Linked DNA regions of Xenopus tropicalis. The protein of the gene in region 3 interacts with the protein of the main gene of each other region in a pairwise test. Links are inferred from orthologs where the notes say so. Each region holds a gene or a part of one and is shown on either strand. Other genes may lie near its edges.

Region 1 (5,336 bases), on a different chromosome or scaffold from region 3:
TCCCAATGGCTAGCAACTAAACCCCTACAGTACAGGGCTGCTAAGTGGTAAATGCGTAGTAGTGTAACTAGAGGTTTAAAGTAATAGTAACACTTAGTAACTCAGGTCTTTGCAAAATTCAATTGTTCATGAAAATGTGCTTACATTTGAGTTCTGATCCTGTGTGGTCACCATGGTATAAGCTAACAACACCATTTAACTGCACTGCCAGATTCTTTCTGTCAGTCAAGCATTTAAAGGACATGTAAAGCCTACATTTGCCTACAATGTATATCAGTTGGGCACGTCTCCCCCACCCAAATAGCATTAGTTGTACTGCATATATCTCCTCCGTTTGCCAGCACCATCACATGTTCCTAAAGCGAATAGCAGCACACAGGCAGAACTATCTCTGATAAAGTTCTGATGTGTTTGAACTGAGCTCAGGAGAGAAGGTTGGGAGAAAAAAACTGAAGCAGACAGCTAGAGCTGAGTTTCTATGGGAACCAGCAATGCCATCTCTTCACTGGCTGCTAGATTAGGGGGCATGTTTAGTAATCTGATCTTACAACAACTGAGCATGCCCACAAGCCAACAGCCAAAGCAAATTCCTGAGGGAGGGGGCCGAGTGGGTTACAGGAGGAGATGCAAATCTAAGTGATTAAGGAGATGTTGCAGCCTTACTACCGGTATTAACCTCTGGACAACCAGTGTGGCAGGTATTGAGAGATTTCAAAGAGGCTGTTCACTGATTACATTTTTGTGTGTGGAGTTTACATGTCCTTTAATTTCCGCCTTACATGCAAGCCCAGAGGGATCATAAGAACGTGGTGCTTCTCTCTCCCTGTCTTCCGTTATCCAATAGCATTCTCACGAATTTTTTGAAACCCTCCGAAGTTCATATTGAAATCTGTGCAGGTAGCAATTTTTCGGCTTCATTCGGGCATTTTTGCATGCATGTGACGTCACGTCTGCAAGTGAGCACCGGTGCGTGATGTCACTTCCATGCAGCAATACTGATGAACGAATAATTATAATTTCAAGATGGCGAACCACAGGTGCTGCCTTCTGCTTGCCTTTTAACTTTCCACTCCTCTGGAGTGGGACTAGAAAAAAATAAATGAACCACAGAGGCAGGAAATTGAAAAATAAAGTGGGGAAATAAAAAGCTTTTGGGCAAGGATATACAAAGAGAGTATCAGGGCCTAACACATGAAGAAAACAAGTTGGGGAAGTGGAATACAATTTGTAGTTGGGCAGGGATAAGAAAAGGAGTACCATACTAACTGTTGTAGGAATTAGGAGGTTAGGGTATAGGATCTGAGTATATTGGGAATTTTATCTAAAAATCTTTTAGATAGTAGCATTGGTAGGAAGGTGGAGTACAGATCATTCTTTAAATGTGGGAGTGGGTTAAATCGGCTATACAGATGTATACTTCTCTCCCAAGAATGAATTTTCTAAAATCTAGCTTTTCCCATTCATTAACTTGGGTTTAAACATTACAAGGCCATGCAAATATGCCACACCAAAGTATGTTTATACATGCTAGTATAATCTTGAAGCAGTTCATATTAAACCTTACAGAAGAGAAAAAAACAAACACAAATATGCATCAGCAGCTTTTAGTGACTAGCATGCTACTCTTGCTATACTGCATAGCTATGGCTTTCCCTCTCTACCCAAACACAATTTGTGATACACCCACTGAGCTACTGATTGGTCAAGTGTCGGAACAAACACTCGTTACATATCAAGGGAAGGGGCGGGGCTTCTCGGCTCTTGTTTCAAAGTGTAGGTGCACTTGAACTTTGTACTTATACAGCAGCGGCGATGGCTGCCACACGGACTCTGTCACATACAGTGGCTGTCATCAAAATCAACAATCCTCCTGTTAATGCGCTGAGGTAAGACGTTGAGCTGGATTCGTTGTGGGAAGGGACCTCAGCTATAGGTGTTTGTGGTGGACTGGAATCAATACACCATGAAGTACAAACCAGCCTTTTCTCGACCTTTGTATCTAAGTGTAGCTGAACTGTAACACCTTAAATGCCACTGATCATTGTAGAATTCTGGGAGTTGTAGTCCCACAGTAGCTATGAATACAGATTAAACACTCAAAATCCTAATTTGCAAGTTTAAGGCAAGTGCAATGCTCTGGTTTGGAATGCAAAATTGAGCATGCTTAGATAACTCAGAATTTATGATGAAACTAACCAAAATAGACACCACTTTGCATGTGTATGGGTGCATTCTGCACAAGGGATTGTATATGCCACTTGGAGAGTGCCTGCAATTACACTCTTAATCTGGATAAAAAACATTGTGATTTGCATCTGAAAATGGCACTTTGCACAGCGCTTTATGCTTGCGCCCTTCTGAAAGCTTCTAATAGCCTTATAATTGGCTCCTATTTTGCATCCCTCCCTCTGTTTCCCCAGTACCTTCCAGTGCTCTAGAAGAGTAATTCTATAAGGTGACCGGTATCTCCATACTGCAGCCCTCCACTGCTTGCACTGCATTACCAGCATTTGGCTGTCCATTTTCATGGACAGTATTTTTCTGGGATGTGCATGGTAAAGAAAGTGCAGTTCTGAGAAATATAGAGTAATTTAGAAATTGCTGGTAGCTGAATTATTTATCAGCATATAAACTGGGCAATATATATTAATAGACAAAGTGGCAACTTTACCTGAATATGCTCTAAGGTAACTTGCAGTAAATATCTCTTTGGCAGGAAATGAACAAGAAATATGAAATGGTGAAATCTAGGCTTAAGGTGGCCATGCACGGGCCGATTCTAGCTGCCAATATCGGTCCCTTAGACCGATTCGGCAGCTTATCAGCCCATGTAGGGGCACCAACGACGGGCCTGCCCGACCGACATCTGGCCTGAAATCGGTCAGATATCGATCGGGCAGGTTAAAAAATTTAGTCTGATCAGGGACCGCATCGGCTAGTTGATGTGGTCCCCAAACCAACTGCGCCCATTACCATCGTTCTTATGCCCAGGGCCAAACGACCGAATTAGCCTAAATTCACCCAGTATAGGTGGGGATATCAGAGAAGATCCGCTTGCTTGGTGACTTCGCCAAGCGAGCGGATCTTAACGTGTATGGCCACCTTTAATGTGTATTTCCCTGTAAAGAGGCAATGTATAGATGAAGCTGGTTTTAAAGATGCACTGTGTTCAGTAGTAACTTATAAGAAATGCCTGCTCCATCTGTAATATTGTAGTCATAATCTTGAGAGATGCTAGGGCTCAATAATATCCTTTTGTAAAGCTGGACTAAATATTGCCATTTCATTAAAATATGGCTACTGGGTGAACTGGTTCACTGATAAATAATTCTTTTTAATATGGTGGCTCTATCACACAACACACAAAAGAACTGAAGTCTGCTAGCTAAAGGTGCGTTGGTTTTTGTACAATTTGTGTGTTTCCTTGAGAATATGTTTGGGCTAATAAATCAACAAAAGAGGGACCATTTGCTTTTATTTGCTACCATATATTGTGCTTATTTGTCTGCCATAGCACTCCTGTCTGTCAGGCACTTATCAAGGAATTGGCAGAGGTCAAAAAGGACCCATCGGTAGAGGCCATTGTCCTGTGTGGAGCAAATGGAAAATTCAGTGCAGGTATGGTTGTGTTTATTTTTCTGTCACTGGATGGATCTGTGCTATCATTTTCTTTTTAAAATAGGTGATTCCATATTCTAATACACTCTTTACTGCCCCAGGAGCAGACATCCGTGAGTTTAGTTCTGCAGCTCGGAGAACCGTATCTTTAGAAGATATAAATGCTGAAATAGAAAGCACCACGAAGCCTGTGGTGGCTGCCATTGAAGGAGTGGCTCTCGGAGGAGGTCTGGAATTAGCATTATCGTGCCACTATCGTGTGGCACATATAAAGGTGCAGTCACTTTAGCATCTACTAAGATGTTAAGATCAGCGGGACAGGCGTCCATCTGGGCGCAGTCAGCATAGCAACAAAACTATTTGGCTTTGTCTGGTTCTTACCATTTCAGTTTACCTGCTCTGCCACTAAGCTGTGGCAGGTTACAAACAACAGTGAATAAAAGCATATAACAGCAATAGTCAAACTGTGGTAATGAGCTCCAGTATTAGTTTTGGTGGAGTTGTTGTTTGGAAGTGATACCTGGCACTTTCCCTGTCATAAGAACACTGGAAATAATATTAGGTCCTCATCTGTGTGAATTTCCCCTTAAAGTGGCCTTTTGGTATCTGATATGTACAAGGATTATGAATAACTGAATAGTAATGGGCAAACTATTTGATAATTTTGCTCCTACATGCGGCTACTCAGCACTGTGCCAAACTGTTCCAATAGAAACCCCTGGTTGTATGCTGCTGCTTTAAAAATAAAGTTTAATTGCACAAAGTTCATAACAGAATTACAGATAATTTTCTCTTGTTGGCTTACAAGTGCTATGCCTTGGGGAGGAAACCATAAAGTTTGTCTCTTCAAATAATGCAGTCCCAGAGGGCAGGTGAAACAAACATTTTTAGGCCGTAGGCTTTCACTGTAAAAGGTGAAAGTAGCAAACCACAACCCTCTTGGATGTGGCTTTTTCCTGGTCTAGATGGATTTGAGGCAGCAGCAGAAGTGTTATGTAATATATATCAGAAATGGAAGGTATATGAGTGTTAACATCTTCATATATAGTTAAAATACATCTTGATCTCTCTTTACAGACTGTTATGGGTCTCCCGGAGGTATTAATTGGAATTCTCCCAGCAGCTGGAGGAACCCAACGCCTGCCTCGCTTAATAGGCATTCCTGCTGCTCTGGATATTATTGTCCGTGGTACGCACTTTCTTTCTCCCTTTACACACAGAATAGTTGTTGTCACCATATAAAGTCCAAAGACCCATCTGGTGTTCTGCTTCTAAAATATCAGTCCTGTTTCAGTAATGCCATTGAGATGTCACCAGTCAAGATTACCATTGTAACTTCATTGTGCTTATAGATCTTTAGCTATTTCATATCATTACTAAAATTTCTTCCTCCAAACCTGCATTATTTTATTATGCTGAGAGTTGCTGAACCATATACGGTACATTGTCCTACCTACCTCCCAATTCCCTCTGCTCACGTCCATTTACCTCCATATACAGGAATGTGTGGTACTCTACCCACATCCCAGTGATATCTTGCACACTTCAAACAGCAGGTAGCTCCAGCTACCAGCAGAGGAGGGTTAAAAAGCAGAGGAGGGTTAAAATTACAATAAAACCTACTTGACTTGAAATTGTTGGTACCATGTCATCTAAGACTCATAAGAACAATTGGGGGAAGTTATCACACTGCCTGATGGAGTGCCGTATTAGGTAAC
Region 2 (5,338 bases), on a different chromosome or scaffold from region 3:
ACAGTTAGTACTAGTGGTTGTATTTATAGTTTATGTATGTGTGTGTATAGATTGGTAGGTGTGGGTTAGGTGTGCTGGGTTTACTTGGATGGGTTGAACTTGATGGACACAGGTCTTTTTTCAACCCTATGTAACTATGTAACTATGTAACTATGTATATTAAAAATGCATTATCACTATAATGCCAAATTTTGTACTCCATTTCATTCCCACCAACAGTTCAGGCCAGGCTGGAACAAGATGTGCATAATGCAGGGCATCTCTGCCTACATAGCTATAGTTTGAAATCAGTGGCCCAAAGTCATTTAACCCCTTCAGCACCCATGTTACTTATTTAAAAAGGCAGAATTGCAAAGCTGCTCACTTTCATGCCACTTTTCCTGTCCATACAATACAGGGCATCCCTGCCTGCAAATATATAGGTTTAAATAAGAGGCCCACCATTATTTAACCCCTTCGACACATGATGTTATATATTAAAAAAGGCAGAATTGCACTCGCTGGAACAACATCTTGAACTCTGGGAACCCTGGACAACTTTCAAGACACTCTCAATAAGACAGTCCACAGAATAAGAGAGATTACCCACGAATACGGACACTAACCAACACCTTCTTAATGAAACGTACGATAACCCATGTCACTGATATTGTTACCTATTAATGCAAAATTGTTTTTTTTTTGGAAAATTGATAAATAAAGAGATTATAAAAAAAAAAAAAAAAAAGGCAGAATTGCAAAGATGACCACTTTCAAGCAACTTTAATTGCCCAGAACAGGGTCAGGCTGGAACGGGATATATCTAATGTAGGGAATCCTTGTCTGCAAATATATAGGTTTCAATTAGTGGCCCAGTCATTTAACCCCTTCAGCATTCTTGTTATTCAAAAAGGCAGATTTGCACGTGCCCACTTCCACGCCACTTTTCCTTACTAGAACCATTTTGGGCAAGGTAAGAAACGGTGCATTCCTTTTCTATAAATATATAGGTTTAAATTAGTGGCCCAAGGTGATTAACCCTTTAGACAATTAATTACAGATTCACTGAACTAAATAAGAAACTATTGCCACTTTGGTGCCACTTTTCCTGCCCAGGACTGTGTTGGGCCAGGCTAAAACAGGCTGTAGTTTACATAGAGCAACTCTGTCTATGAATGTTAACTTTTAAATCCGTGACCCATAGTAATTTAATACCTTAAAACACCAGTTACTTATTTACAAACCAACTACAATGTCCGAATAAGAACCTGGCCAAATAAGAGACCAACTTTAAAGCCATTATTCAGCAGTATTTGGGAGACAGATTTCAGTATGAGAAGAGGGGGGATTGTGTGACAGCTGGAGATAGCCTAGCTGCCCTGTGAGGAAGACAGCCATGTTGCACAGCACACGCTTTATCTCCAGCTCAGGTGCCCCTCCTCCTCTTCCCATGGAGCTGGGAGCAAACCACGCACAAGAAGAGGAGGGGGATGTGCGCTCCTAACAGCAAAAGCACCACCCAGTAAGTTTGCACCTTGCCACCGCTTGCTCTCCTGTATTTTCCTGCCTTCGCACTTCCTGCTGGAGCAGTTGCTTCATCGTGTTCTTCCTCTCGCTGTTTGAGAGCAAAGGAACTAGGAGCGGGGCTGGGAGAGGCTGAGGGAGAGGCTGAGGGAGCAGACCCTGGATGTGTCAGCCCGTGATTTCCCGGAGTAGGAGGGGGAAAGGGATGAGCGTGTGCCCATAGACAACATGGAATGAGAGAGAGGCTCAGGCAGCTCCTCCGGCCCGTCCTGCACTCTCCTTAGCGCCTCTCTGCCATCATAGGGACACGGGAGAGAAAGTCTGCGCTGCCGGCTGCTTATCGTTCATTTCAGGAGGAAAAGGAACTTACATGAGTCTCCTGGAGTATAGAGAGATATAGGCAGGTAAGTGGCGCTCACTCTCAGTGTGGGGATTTGCCTCAGGGCAGCCATAAGGTGAGGCGTGGGGGGGGTAACATTCCTGGAACCAAAAAGCAATATTTCCTTTCCAGTTTTGCTGCCACTATATGTACCCTGGGGGGTCAGTTTGCTTGAGGCCTCTTGTACTTCTGTTTTGTTTGCCAGCCCAGGTGGTCAAAGGTATGGAGGTTGTCCCTGTGGTCCATCAGCTGTTGAGAGGCTACAACTTCCACTGAGAGTTGTAGTTCAGCAATAACTAGAGGGATGGACTCTGCTGGCATTTGCTGACTTATTTCCTCTGTCCTTTAACTGCTGTGATTGGGGAAATCCCACTCCTAGGCCTGTGCATCCCAGCCCTTCCCCACTCTTCCTTCCTGAGCTGGCCCTTAGGAAAAACAATATCCTCAGTGCAGATGGGGCTGGCTCATAGAGGTGCTTGTGTCATGCTTGTGCCTGGAGATCACACAAACAAACTTCTGCTCACTCCTTTACCCTGCTGTCACTTCTGATTTGTTCCTTTGGTGTGCTGTCACCTTATGAGGCCATAAGCAGGTGTGTTAGTAGGTTGCTACAAGGCCTGGGCTACAGTATAAAGGCCTGTGGCTTGCAGTGATTCTTCTGAATTCCAGCCTTGATATTCTGAGACAATTTGCAATTGGTCTTCATTTTTCATAGTTTCAGTTATTTAGCTTTTTGTTCAACACATATTTAGTTTAGTATTATAATGACTGATGTGGTTGCTAGGTCTTTACCCTGGCAGTGGCTTTATCAAGAGACAGGAATATAAATAGGAGAGGGCCTGCATAGAAAGATAAGTAATGCAAAGAAACAATAGCAATAAAATCTTTGCCACACGGAGCAATTAAATTATTTTTGGCTGCTAAGGTCAGTGACTCCCATTTAAAATCTGAAAAAAGGGCAGAAGAGTGGCAACTAATTCAAAAACTTTAAAAAAATGATGAAAACCAATTGTGAAGTTGCCAGGAATAGGGCATTCTTTAACATACTAAAAGTTAACTTAAAGAGGAACCATCCCTTTAAAGGGGTAGTTCACCTTTGAATACTTGGTAGATAGTGATATTATGAGACAAATTGGCTTTAGTTTTTAAATCATTAAGCCTTTTGTTCATCAGCTCTCCAGGTTGGAGTTTCATCAGCTATCTGATCATTGGGGTCTGATTTACCCTATTTATTGGGCTGGTGGCTGTTTGGGCCTCTGTGTATTTCATATGCCAGGGCCTATTTTGAATCCCAGTTTGAAAGAGAGACTTAAAGATGAATAGGAGAGAGCTTGATTACAAATATAAAGAATAAGAACTAGCAATAAAACTATAGCTTTTTACTTCTGGGGTCAGTGACCCCCATATGAAAGTGGTAAAGTGGTTGAAGAAGGCGGCAAATTATCAAAAAAATAAAAAATTAAGACCAGCTGGAATAGGACATTTTATAACATTCTAAAAATTTATTTAAAGATGAACATCCCTTTTTAGTTTTTAAAGTGCTGGGCAATATTGCTTGAAATGTTGGTGAGAAAGCTGTGTTAAAACTGCTCCTGGGTCACATTTAGAAGGTCATGTACTGTACAGGTATAGGATCCCTTATCTGGAGACCTGTTATCCAGAAAGTTTTGAATTACGGAGGCCATCTCCCAATAAAAAAAATTCTAATTTTTAAAACTGATTTTCTTTTCTCTGTAATAATAAAACAGTACCTTGTACTTGATCCCAACTAAGATATAATTAATTCTTATTGGAGGCAAAACTACCTGTTGGGTTTAAATGATGTTTGTTTAAATGATTTTTTAGTAGACTTAAAGTATTGAGATCCAAATTACAGAAAGATCCCTTATCTGGAAAGCCCCAGGTCCCAAGCATTCTGGACAACAGGTCCAATACCTGTACTAGGTTCCCCTATGCTTTACAATCCCTAATAAAGGTAGCAGTGGGAAGCAGATACATAGCTGCAGTTTGTGCAGTGCTTAGAGCCACTAAAATGATCTTATTTCCATCCAAACATGCACATTTTGGAGTTATGGACAGCAGTATAAACACCGCTTGCAGTTATATAATACGTTTATACCCTCACTGTTGTTGCCTTGATGACACTCGTTATTTTGGCCCTGTCTAACAGAGGGTGACTACTTATAGAGTCATCACGCAACCCCACTGTGTCCTATTTCAATTAAGTATTAGTGTAGGGCATTGGCTTTTAATAGGTTAAAAAGGCTTGTGTGTTTGGAGAGAAAATAAATCCGTAATCCTGCTTTTGACCCACTTCCACATGAATAGTCACAGAGAAGGAAGAGGAAAGGAATTCATTCATAAATTCCCCCCCCATTCATGCATACAAGTGAACTGCTGTCCTGTCTGGTCACAGCTGAGAACAACTGCTTTCAAAGAATCACTGGTCTCTTTTTACGCAGAGTTTGATTGAAGACAACAAATTACAAATATTTGTATGGGTTTTTGACTTAATTAAGTTTACAGTACACACTAATATATATTAGTATGTGACCATGTACTCATGTACTGTTGCCCCCTTTCTAACATATCCTTACAGATTAAATATTCTACAGTACATCTGTAAAGTTATCACTAAGCAGCAAAACAATAAAGCAAAACTAAATGCAAATAGAAAAAATAAAAATTATCTTTTATACAGGTAACTTTGCTGCAGACACTAATTTCCAAGGATTGGTTTCTTTGTTCTTACAGTATGGAGACAGCTGCCTTTTCAGTCTTTCAGCTGTGCCCCATTTATATTACACTACAATGAGTTGTAGCCCAAGGGCAAAATAATGTTGAAATCTTTGTGAAATGTATAAAGGCTATTGAAAGGGGTATATCCTCTGCTGGCAGGTCTCATCTGGGAGAAGAGTGCCTGAACCCCCCCCCCCCCCCATGTTGCCCATTTACGCAAATAGGGAAAATGCAACAGAGTAGGTAATGGCATTTTTCAGTGCCAAACACTCAGAGTGCTTTTTGGCCTGGAAAGGGCCAGTACCCCAACCACTGTCTTAATGATTACTTGCCAACTTAAGGTTGCCACATATTGAAAGATGAGCTTGTTTGGCGACCTCACCATATGATGGGATCTGTCTGATGTCCCCACCTTAAGGCAGTATGGGGCTGGTCTGATCAGGCCAAACTATCAGATCACAGCAGTGGGGACACACGCTGTCAGGGTGTGGGCCTCATCAGTGAGCCAATGCGGTCCTCGGCCCTACAGGATTTTTAAACTTGACCAATTGGAATCTGCCTCATTTTCATCCAGATATCTGTCAGGCAGCCCCATACATAGATTGATGGGTCTGAATGGGTCAAATCGGCAGCTTAAATCTGCCCGTGTATGGCCACCTTTACCCAAAAATAACTAGAGGAAAAGATACTTGTACATTGTTCTGGCTTAGACTGAGT
Region 3 (5,364 bases):
TTAAATAGAGCTTCTCCAGCAGAATCCTGCATTGAAATCTTATATTTTTTAAAAAAAAATTATATTGGGCTAGCCATATTCTTCATTTCCCAGGGTGCCACAACCATGTGACCTGTGCTCTGCTAAATCTCAGTAACATTTTACTGCTGTGTTGCAAGTTGGTGTGATATCACCCCCTCAGCAGCCAATCAGTAGAAAAATGGGAAGGAAAATAAAAAAAAAAGTACACCATACATATCATGACACCATCCCTAATTCTCAATCTTCTCTACTCCTTCAGTCACTTCTTCCCCTCTTTGAGCTTTAATATTTGCTCAGGGCCTCCTTAGTTCATAACAGGTTTACAGATATATGGAAAAAACTGGTACAGGTATCGGACCCCTTATCCGGAAACCCGTTATCCAGAAAGCTCCGAATTACGGAAAGCCCATCTCCCATAGACTCCATTTTAATCAAATAATTCAGAATTTTAAAACTGATTTCCTTTTTCTCTGTAGTAATAAAACAGTACCATGTAATTGATCCCAACTAAGATATAAATAATCCTTATTGGATGCAAAACAATCCTGTTGGGTTTGATTAAAGTTTTATTGATTTTTTAGTAGGCTTAAGGTATGGAGATCCATATTACGGGAAGACCCCTTATCCGGAATACCCTTGGTCCCGAGCATTCTGGATAATAGGTCCTATACCTGTACCAGTTATCCTGTTAAACATGAAGGGGTATCCAGGGTATAAACAAACTCACCCAAAATTTCAACCTAATGGGTTTTCAAGTTGAGCTTCCATGAGTATCCAGGAGAACAAACACATTCTCCAATAAATGCCCAGCCCCATAGTTGAAACTGTCCGAGGACCACATTACTTAATCTCCTTGTGATCCTTCTGTCCATTTTTTCAGGTTTATTCAGTTAGGAAACCATCTTTTACCTTTGCTGATCACTTGTCAATATTTCCAATGTGAATAATTCACAAGTGAACTGAACAGAGCTATTAACACCTTCTTTCTTCTGTTTATTTGCTACATTATTTAATCAATTTCCAGCTCTGCATTATTTCCAGTATTTTATCTCCATCTTTTCTGGCAACTTGTTAATTTTACAACAACTTCCTTAAACTTTCTTTAAACAAGCTTTTTAGTCAGTTTGAGTGGTGTTTAGTGATTGGGTTTATGTAGAAAAAAGGAATTACATCTTTTCTGGGAAAAAAAAAAACTTTCTATTTCCATTTTCTTTATTCTCTAATAAAGAGGCTGTCGAAAGATGTACTTTCCCAAACACATTTCTCTAGAAAAAAACTTATCGTTTACCTAATATTAGTATTTATAGTTGGCATTTACCCTAAGCACAGATGCAGGTATCAGCAGGGGATAACAAAGTTTCCTCTCAAGGCAACTTTGGGGACAGCGGTGCCGCGTATTCCATCCCACCGGTGATTTACATTATAGTTGGTGGGATGGCATATCGGAGAGATTAGTCGCACGCAACGGAGATTTGTCACGGCGTGACTAATCTCCCCGTGTACCGCTGCCCTAGGGATTGCATGGCTGTTTGCAATACTGTTACGTCTGGACTACCACTATGGTAGAACTTTTCAGAGCTCCATGTGTCTCACCCTAAGGGCAGGGGTACATGGGGACATTAGTCGCACCGCGACAAATCTACGTTGTGATGGGCGACTAATCTCCCCGCAATACCATCCCATTGGCTAGAATGTAGATTACCGGTGGGATGGCATACGCAGCGCCATGATTTGCCAAAGTTGCCTTGAAAGGAAACTTCGGGCAGCCTAAACAAATCGCGGCGCTGTGTATGCCATCCCACCAGCGATTTACATTCTAGCCAATGGGATGGTATTGCGGGGAGATTAGTAGCCCGCAACAACAAAGATTTGGCCCACACCAACTAATCTCCCTGTGTGTCACTGTCCTATGGGTCAGGCAAGGCATAGAATAGCAAACAAGCACCTAAAGAGTTAGTATAACAGATCTATACTATCATATTATAACATCATAATCATGTTAAAGTACAATTTCATACTACTTATAAATCATTCATATGGGAAACATGGAACTCCTCAGCTTGACTCGGTTTTATAGAAGAACGGCGATATATTATCAGAGAGCGTCACAAACTACCGTCCTTCTTCACAATTTTTACAACACAGAACTGGGAGTGTCGGAGCTACACTGCACGTATGAGCGTGAGCCCGCCTTCTGCGTACGTGACGTATTGCGTCACTGCAATAGGGAAAAAAAAAAAAAAAAGATCAGCAGAGGAGAGAATCATGGCTGCCCGGAGAGGTAAGCAGGTCACCGGTTAAAGAAAGAGCCCGTGTAAGGCAAAGAGTAAATGAATTGTTCTTGTAGCTTGGCTAGATGAAAGTGTGATCATAGCGTGTGTTTATTGGCGGCCTGTGCTTAACTTCATAAGGTCTGAATTATTTTGTTTACAAATTACATGTGTGCGTGTAATTGACACAGTGTTGACAGATATATGTGAAACTGCGTAAAAAGTGTTCATTTTTCCACATTGCGCTAATAAAGCAGTGGAAAGAGAGAAGAGGAACAACCTCTCAGAAAGAAAGAGCCAATGATAGTGATGGAAACCTAAAGATACATTTTCATAATTAACTTAACTTAAATGTCCTTCTAATCCACATAAATATATATATATATATACCCATAGATTAAATGTTTTTAGTGTTATTCTAGGTGAAAGCTGTATTTTGCTTTCACTTTTGTGCTGATTTCTCCAACCACAGATCAGTTGGGTTCTGCTACATTGTTTCAATAGTTAGACCCACCAGGGCATACAAAGTAATAGATGCCGATTTGAATAGCAATTGCATAGGCAAAAAGTGATACACTTGACTATTTGCAATTACGTGTATAATTGAAACCTGCTAAGCATTCCCATTTCTTTCATTTAGGTTGGACTGCAATTTTCACCCAGTACAGGAGTAGATCCTTAATAGCTTTGAAAGCTTGTTTCTTGTGCTTAAAGAGATACTGACACCAGAAATTAAACCTTTTTTTACATCTATCATAACATTGTCTTTGCATGACCTTAATTTTTGCCATAAAAGCATTTGCCCAATGCTTTTATATAACCTGTCTGATCCCCCATGTTCCCCTATAAGGGGGCTGCCATATTTGTCTAGCAGGAGGCCGTTAGCATTAGAACTGACAGGCTGAGAAGGGACAGTCAGGTTGGCTAAACAGTCAGGTTTAGGGACTTCAAGTAACAATTATTTACAAAAGCAAATCTCTCAGCGAAAATCAATCAACATGACCTATAGGCAACTTTTAATGTACATTCATATTTTGAGGAGTCGTTTTTTAGTGTCGGTATCACTATAAGAATTACATTTCTATAACTGGTTGGTATCAACATCCTTTTTGAATTTCAGCACTGCTCAAATATTTTTACTTTGAGAATAAACACTGTATCTTTTGCTTCAGTATAGCAGGGCCAAGTCCCACTTTTGCATAAACCACTATATAGTTTTAATAAACTTGGTTCACCAACAAATGTTTGTAATATTGGTGTGTTTATGAGCTTCTGCAGGTCCTTAAAAACAACTAAATGATGCTTTGCACACTGTATTTATTGTAGCCTATTGTGGTCCAGACCTGTTCTTGTGTTTTCTTGTGTTTTGGGGTCTTTTTCTTTACTAAAAATTATAACCCCCTGGTGTAAAATATTAAGTACTTAGGGAATCCACAAAGCCAATGTAAGCAGGTAGAAATATTTTTTAAGGAAACATCCCTGACAAAGCTATGCACGTTTCATGGCGCTTGGCTGTGGATATGACACATAAAGGCAATTCACTGTTCACAATTCACTAGGACAAAAACAACTGTGCTATTGCACAACACTTTGCTGGCTCGGGTGTATAATTTAAAGTAAAGGTATGTGGTATTTATGGAGGGACAGTTTTTTTACATGCATACCCACTGAATGCAATCACTTTTTACCTTGACACTCCTCTTTTGTTAAAAAAAAAAAAAAAAAAAAGTGCCGTCCTGGAGAAATTTTCTATTGAATGCTGAGCTGCCCTTTTTTTTGATTCACAGCAATCCATTTTGGGTGACATAACCTATGTGTGTGTGCAGTATAGTATAATATCTGGCTTTAATATACTGTAATAGACCTAAGTATTTATGTATTCCTTTGTCTTTGGAGCACAGAGTAAATAGTAATAGGTAGTTTCATTTAGATGGAAACATTTTCTCAGTATATGTTTGAATTTTTCTTAGAGCCCAGCAGTGACGATGAATCATATGAAGTGTTGGACCTAACAGAGTATGCCAGACGTCACCATTGGTGGAACCGCTTGTTTGGGCGGAATTCTGGGCCACTTACAGAAAAGTATTCTGTAGCTACACAAATCGTCATGGGAGGTGTGTCAGGCTGGTAAGAAATGCATCTTCAAGGCATACCTACAGTTGTGTTAGCTCTTTCTTAACAGTTCAGTGCCACTCTGTAAAAAAAAAAAAAAAGACTTAATAAATTAGTCAGGATTTAAGAACATTCTTGGTTATAGTTATTTTCTTAAGGGCCAGTATGCTGCCCGGCCACATAGCGCATTCAGTAGACATGCATGCATGGATGCATCACAGAGGTTTCCAGCAAGGTTCAATAATATAATCCAGCTGCTGGATTACAAGTGAGTTTTGCTGATAGTTTTTATGTATTCAAATACAGTATAGAATGTGCCTATATTGTGGGCATTTTATACACAGATTTGCATGTTTATATATCATACAGACTTAGAAATCTTAGAGTATATATTGATATAACTGCTAAATGTATTCAAATATGTTTATTTTATTTATAGGTGTGCAGGATTTTTGTTTCAAAAAGTTGGCAAACTTGCTGCAACAGCAGTAGGTGGGGGTTTCCTTTTGCTTCAGGTAATAAATAACATTTTTCTTATTTTTTGGCAGCAAGTGACGATTTTTACACATATAGGATGTGATGTCTTAAAATGTGGAGCCTTACACAGTTCTGCAGTGATCAATGATACTATGGGTAGCAGATTGCAAAAATGGTCTGGGCCTGGGGGAATAAATACCTATTCTCTGACTTTTATTCCATTCTATTGCTGACACTCCTCTCATGTTACCTATTAAAGGACAAGTATTCATTGTGGGGGTGTGAATGTGTTCGACACCCTCAGTGGATATAATACCTTAGACACCTGCTCTGAGTACTAGTTCATGAGTGATTCTGCCATGATTTCCTGTTGCTCAGCAGTCCTCTCCACAGTTTTGGTGCAGTTTTAGTGCTCATGCACAGTAACTTAATACATTTGCTTTAAAGTTCCTATTTTCCTGTACAACCCATTCAGGCTGTCTAC
Region 4 (4,537 bases), on a different chromosome or scaffold from region 3:
CAGGTGGTAAGTCGCGGCGGTAGGTTTGGGCACGGGTGGTAAGGGTTGGGTTGTGGGTAGGTTTGCGCGGGTGATCTGGGTAAGTGGGTCGGTGCGGGTAGGTTTGCTGTGGCGGGTGGGCACGCGGTCGTGTGGGTAGGTGTTGGCGCACGTCTCGTCTGTGGGTAGGTTTGGGCGCGGGTGGGTAAGCGTCCGGTGCGGGTGGTAGGTTGGCGGGCTGGTAGGGGCTCTCGGTGTGGGTAGGTTTGGGCCGGGCGTTGTTTTAGGGGTACCGTTTGGGCGCGGGTGTGGTAAGGGTCGTGCGGTAGCGTAACTTGGGCTGCGGGTTGGGCACGGCGTCCGGTGTGGGGTAGTTTGGCCAACGGGTCCGCCGCGTTTGTGGGTAGTCTGTGCACGGGTCGGTTGGTGGTAGGTTTGGGCCACGGTCGGTGTGGGTAGCGTTGGGCACGCGAGTCTCGGTGTGTGGTAGGTTTGGCACGGTCGGTGTGGGTTACGTTTGGGCACGGGTCGCCGTGCGTAGTTTCGGTGCGCGGGGTGGGTAAGGGTCGGTGCGGTAGTTGGTTCCGCAGCCGTGGTAAGGTGTCGGTGCGGGTACGTTTGGTGCTTCTGTGCGTGGGTAAGGTGTCAGAATAGTGCGGGAGGTCCTTGCGGCACGGGTCGAGGGGGTGGGTAGGTTTTGGGTCTATCGGGTCAGGTTGTGGGCTATGGTTTGGGGCGCGTACCTACCTTGTGCCTGCATTGGTAAGGGCTTCGGTGTGGACTGTGTGGTGATCTTGGCGCGCAGGTCCGTGCGGCAGTCAGTTTCGAAGGTCTGCGAAGGTCGCTGTGGGGGTAGTATGATTTTGGGGTGACGAAGTGTGGTTTTGGAGCGCGCAGTCCTGGTTGCGGGATGTTTTGGAGCGCAGGCCGGTTATGCGGCCGTCATGAGGATTTGCGCGACATGGCCGGTGGGGGGTGTTCGTGCGCAGCGGTGGGGGTGGCCGTTGGGGTGCGCAGTGCCGCGTAGTTTTGTACGTAGCTCGCGGATAGGTTTGCTGCCCCGTGCGTGGGTGTAAGTTGCTGGGCGCACGTGCCGAGTTGCCGTGGGTTTGGTGGCGGGTCAGTTTGGTGCAGTCGGATCCACAGATGTGGGTCAGCTTTAGGGTTGCCAGGTCGGTGTGCGGGTCAGTTTGCGCGCTGCAGGGTCGGTCAGGTGGCTGTGTCGTTGCGTCGGCAGGTCCGGTCCGTGGTCCGGAGGTTTCGGCGAGGCCGGTGCGGGTCGGGTTTGAGGTGGTGCGTCATTCTTGTGCTATGTCTTCTGTCGAGGATCTGTGTGGTCGTTTGGGTTGTGTTCTGACAGATAACCTGCACTCTGCTAAGGTCGCGGCTTGGACGTTAGTATTTGGCACAGCACATCCATGTACATGATGCATGGTTCCATTCGAGCGTTCATGACCTTTACTCCTCTCTCCCATAGTCCCGGCCCAGTCCTGCTGCCCGCTGGTGCCCCCTGCTGTTCCGGGCATATGCCACAGAGGCCAAGAAGACTTAATCGTAGTTAGGGACAAGCGCAGCATCGTCCAGGTGCGAGCCATTGTGCATGTGGGGATCATGCCAAGGATCCACCCTGACAGCTGCCATTACCTCATAGAGATAAGTCTGGGAGGGAGGCCCCGGGGTTTATCGGCCGTTCCCCTGGTGCCAGGTCAGTGCTAGTGAGTAGTGAGCCTCTGAGTGGCGGTCTACGTGGCCGCTTCCCCGGCTGCCAAGGCAGGCGTAAAGGTGATGAGTGAAAGGCGGGTTACTGGGGCCGTATCCCTGTGGGCCAATGGCAGTGCTATGTGGAGAGTTGAGGCGTGAGCGTACTGCGCCTTCTGTTCCCCTGTGCCAGGCAGTGACATAGTGAGAGTGAGCGCGGGTACTGCGCCGTTCCTCCTGCTGTCCAGGCAGGCGTGCTGGTGGGATAGTGTGAGGCGACTGCGTTCCCCTGGGCCAGGCAGGCTGGTCGGGAGTGAGGCCGCACGGTATAGGCCGCACTTCCCCTGTGCCAGGCCAGCTCGCTAGTCGCAGAGTGCAGGCAGCTACTGCCAGTTTCCCCTTGTTGCCAGGCAGGCTAGTGAGGTGAGTGCAAGGCGCAGTACTTGGCCGACGTCCCCTGTGCCAGTGGCGGGCTGAGTGGGAGTGAGCTTGGTTTACTGGCCTCGTTCACCCTCGTGCCAGGCGAGGCTGGGTGGGAGTGAGTGCGGGCGCCCTACTGGCCCCGTCTCCCCTGTTGCCAGTGCAGCGTCGTGGGCCAGGTGAGGTTGCGCCCGTCACTGAGCCTTTCCCCCTGTGCCAGGCAGGCTGGTCTGGAGTGAGGGCGCCTGATGGTACTGCTGTGTTCCCCTGTGCCAGGCATGGAGATCTGCGGTGAGAGTCGAAGGCGGCGGAGTACTGCTCGCTTCCCCCTGTGCCAAGGCAGAGCTATGTGGGTCAGCGTGATCAGTGCCGTGCGGTTAGTCACTCGGCCGCTTCCCGTGCCGAGGCAGGCTAGTGCGGTAGTGAGACGGGTAACAGTGCCCGTTCCCCTGTGCCAAGGCGCAAGGCTAGTGAGAGTGAGGCCGCAAGTGATACTAGGGTACCCAATCAACTGTTCCCCTGTGCCAGCAGGGCTTGTGGAGTGAGCGCGGGATGATACTGAGCCGCCTCGTTCCCCTGTGCCAGGCAGGCTATCGGGTGCGGAAGTGAGCGCGACGTACTGGCCCGCTTCCCCCTTGATGCCATGGTGACAGGCTGGTGGGAGTGAGGGTCTCACAAGTCCATGGCCAAATGTACTTGCCCCGTTTCCCACTCCTGTGCCAGGACAGCGCTAGGTGAGGTGCAGGCGGTTAGTGGCCGTTCCCCTGTGCCAGGCAGGCTAGTGGGAGTGAGGCGGGTAGTGGCCGTTCCCCTGTGCCAGGCAGGCTAGTGGGAGTGAGGCGGGTAGTGGGCCGTTCCCCTGTGCCAGGCAGGCTAGTGGGAGTGAGGCGGGTACTGGCCGTTCCCCTGTGGTTCCCAGGCAGGCTAGTGGGAGTGAGGCGGGTACTGGCCGTTCCCCTGTGCCAGGCAGGCTGGTGGGAGTGAGGCGGGTACTGGCCGTTCCCCTGTGCCAGGCAGGCTAGTGGGAGTGAGGCGGGTACTGGCCGTTCCCCTGTGCCAGGCAGGCTAGTGGGAGTGAGGCGGGTACTGGCCATCCCATTTCTCATCTCCGCTCCTGCCCTGTTCCTTCCCAGTGTCTCGCCTCCTGCCCCGCTATTGCCCCGCCAGTGTCTCGGCTCCTGCCCCGCTATTGCCCCGCCAGTGTCTCGGCTCCTGCCCCGCTATTGCCCCGCCAGTGTCTCACCTCCTGCCCCACCAGTGTCTCGGCTCCTGCCCCCAGTCCACTCCGCTAAACACTCTGTACCTGTGGGGCTGCTGCCCTCTCTATAGACCTGCGGGTGGCTCAGTACAGTACAATGGTGTTTTATGAAAGTTCTATAAACTCCTGCTCTGATTGGTTCCAGTCCTGGCGGAGGCGGGGGGCGCCCAGTTCAAGAAGTACGAGGAGATAGACAATGCCCCGGAAGAGAAGGCGCGGGGCATCACTATCAATGCCTCCCACGTGGAATATGCCACGGCCAACCGCCACTACGCGCACACAGACTGCCCCGGGCACGCCGACTATGTCAAGGTGAGTGTGTGACTGTGGCTGATTGGCTAGAGAACCCCATGTGCCCACCTGCCCTGACTGTTATTTGCCCCGAGCAGAACATGATCACGGGGACGTCGCAGATGGACGGCTGTATCCTGGTAGTCGCTGCCACCGATGGGCAGATGCCCCAGACACGGGAGCACCTCCTGCTGGCCAAACAGGCAAGTGTGTGCCCCCCCGCACATATACATACCCTTGTGTACCCCTCTCCCCCCGCACATACCCTGATACCCTTGTGTGCTCCCCCTGCACATATACATACCCTTGTGTACCCCTCGCCCCCCGCACATACCCTGATACCCTGTGTGCTCCCCCTGCACATATACATACCCTGTGTACCCCTCTCCCCCCGCACATACCCTGATACCCTTGTGTTGCCCCCCTGCACATATACATACCCTTGTGTACCCCTCTCCCCCCGCACATATACATACCCTTGTGTACCCCCCCCGCACATACCCTGATACCCCCCGCACCCCGGCGCTGCTGACCCCCTGCCCGTTGCAGATCGGCGTGACCAACATCGTGGTGTACATAAATAAGGCCGACGCGGTGGACGACAAGGAGATGTTGGACCTGGTGGAGCTGGAGGTCCGGGAGCTTCTGACTGAGTTCGGATACGACGGTGAGAACACGCCCATTATCACTGGCTCCGCCCTCTGCGCGCTGGAGGTAAGTGTTTCCTGCCGGCTGGGGGGCCTCTCATTAGTATTTGGTTCTGTCTGACTGAAACCCAAATGTTACAGAACCGGAACCCCGACATTGGGCTGAACTCCATCATGACACTGCTGGACGCAGTCGACACCTACATCCCCGTGCCCCCCCGCGAGCTGGACAAGCCCTTCCTGT

Evidence for each region.
Region 1: the proteins of fundc1 (region 3) and ehhadh interact in binary tests that used the Homo sapiens proteins (3 or more experiments, as listed by UniProt). The two-hybrid records come from large-scale screens. The link is inferred for Xenopus tropicalis from reciprocal best matches to the Homo sapiens genes FUNDC1 and EHHADH.
Region 2: the proteins of fundc1 (region 3) and yes1 interact in binary tests that used the Homo sapiens proteins (3 or more experiments, as listed by UniProt). The two-hybrid records come from large-scale screens. The link is inferred for Xenopus tropicalis from reciprocal best matches to the Homo sapiens genes FUNDC1 and YES1.
Region 4: the proteins of fundc1 (region 3) and tufm interact in binary tests that used the Homo sapiens proteins (3 or more experiments, as listed by UniProt). The two-hybrid records come from large-scale screens. The link is inferred for Xenopus tropicalis from reciprocal best matches to the Homo sapiens genes FUNDC1 and TUFM.

What each region holds. Positions count from the first base shown.
Region 1 is NC_030685.2:54,569,987-54,575,322, forward strand, and holds the start of ehhadh (peroxisomal bifunctional enzyme), read left to right. Parts: upstream 1-1,751; 5' UTR 1,752-1,812; coding exon 1,813-1,886; intron 1,887-3,514; coding exon 3,515-3,618; intron 3,619-3,719; coding exon 3,720-3,892; intron 3,893-4,695; coding exon 4,696-4,807; intron 4,808-5,336. UniProt on the Homo sapiens protein: Peroxisomal trifunctional enzyme possessing 2-enoyl-CoA hydratase, 3-hydroxyacyl-CoA dehydrogenase, and delta 3, delta 2-enoyl-CoA isomerase activities. Catalyzes two of the four reactions of the long chain fatty acids peroxisomal beta-oxidation pathway.
Region 2 is NC_030682.2:107,964,773-107,970,110, forward strand, and holds the start of yes1 (tyrosine-protein kinase Yes), read left to right. Parts: upstream 1-1,775; 5' UTR 1,776-1,907; intron 1,908-5,338. UniProt on the Homo sapiens protein: Non-receptor protein tyrosine kinase that is involved in the regulation of cell growth and survival, apoptosis, cell-cell adhesion, cytoskeleton remodeling, and differentiation.
Region 3 is NC_030678.2:55,858,252-55,863,615, forward strand, and holds the start of fundc1 (FUN14 domain-containing protein 1), read left to right. Parts: upstream 1-2,281; 5' UTR 2,282-2,286; coding exon 2,287-2,302; intron 2,303-4,261; coding exon 4,262-4,418; intron 4,419-4,842; coding exon 4,843-4,918; intron 4,919-5,364. UniProt on the Homo sapiens protein: Integral mitochondrial outer-membrane protein that mediates the formation of mitochondria-associated endoplasmic reticulum membranes (MAMs).
Region 4 is NC_030685.2:347,846-352,382, reverse strand, and holds part of tufm (elongation factor Tu, mitochondrial), read left to right. Parts: intron 1-1,456; coding exon 1,457-1,529; intron 1,530-1,870; coding exon 1,871-1,990; intron 1,991-2,373; coding exon 2,374-2,473; intron 2,474-3,489; coding exon 3,490-3,667; intron 3,668-3,744; coding exon 3,745-3,849; intron 3,850-4,195; coding exon 4,196-4,360; intron 4,361-4,434; coding exon 4,435-4,537. UniProt on the Homo sapiens protein: GTP hydrolase that promotes the GTP-dependent binding of aminoacyl-tRNA to the A-site of ribosomes during protein biosynthesis. Also plays a role in the regulation of autophagy and innate immunity.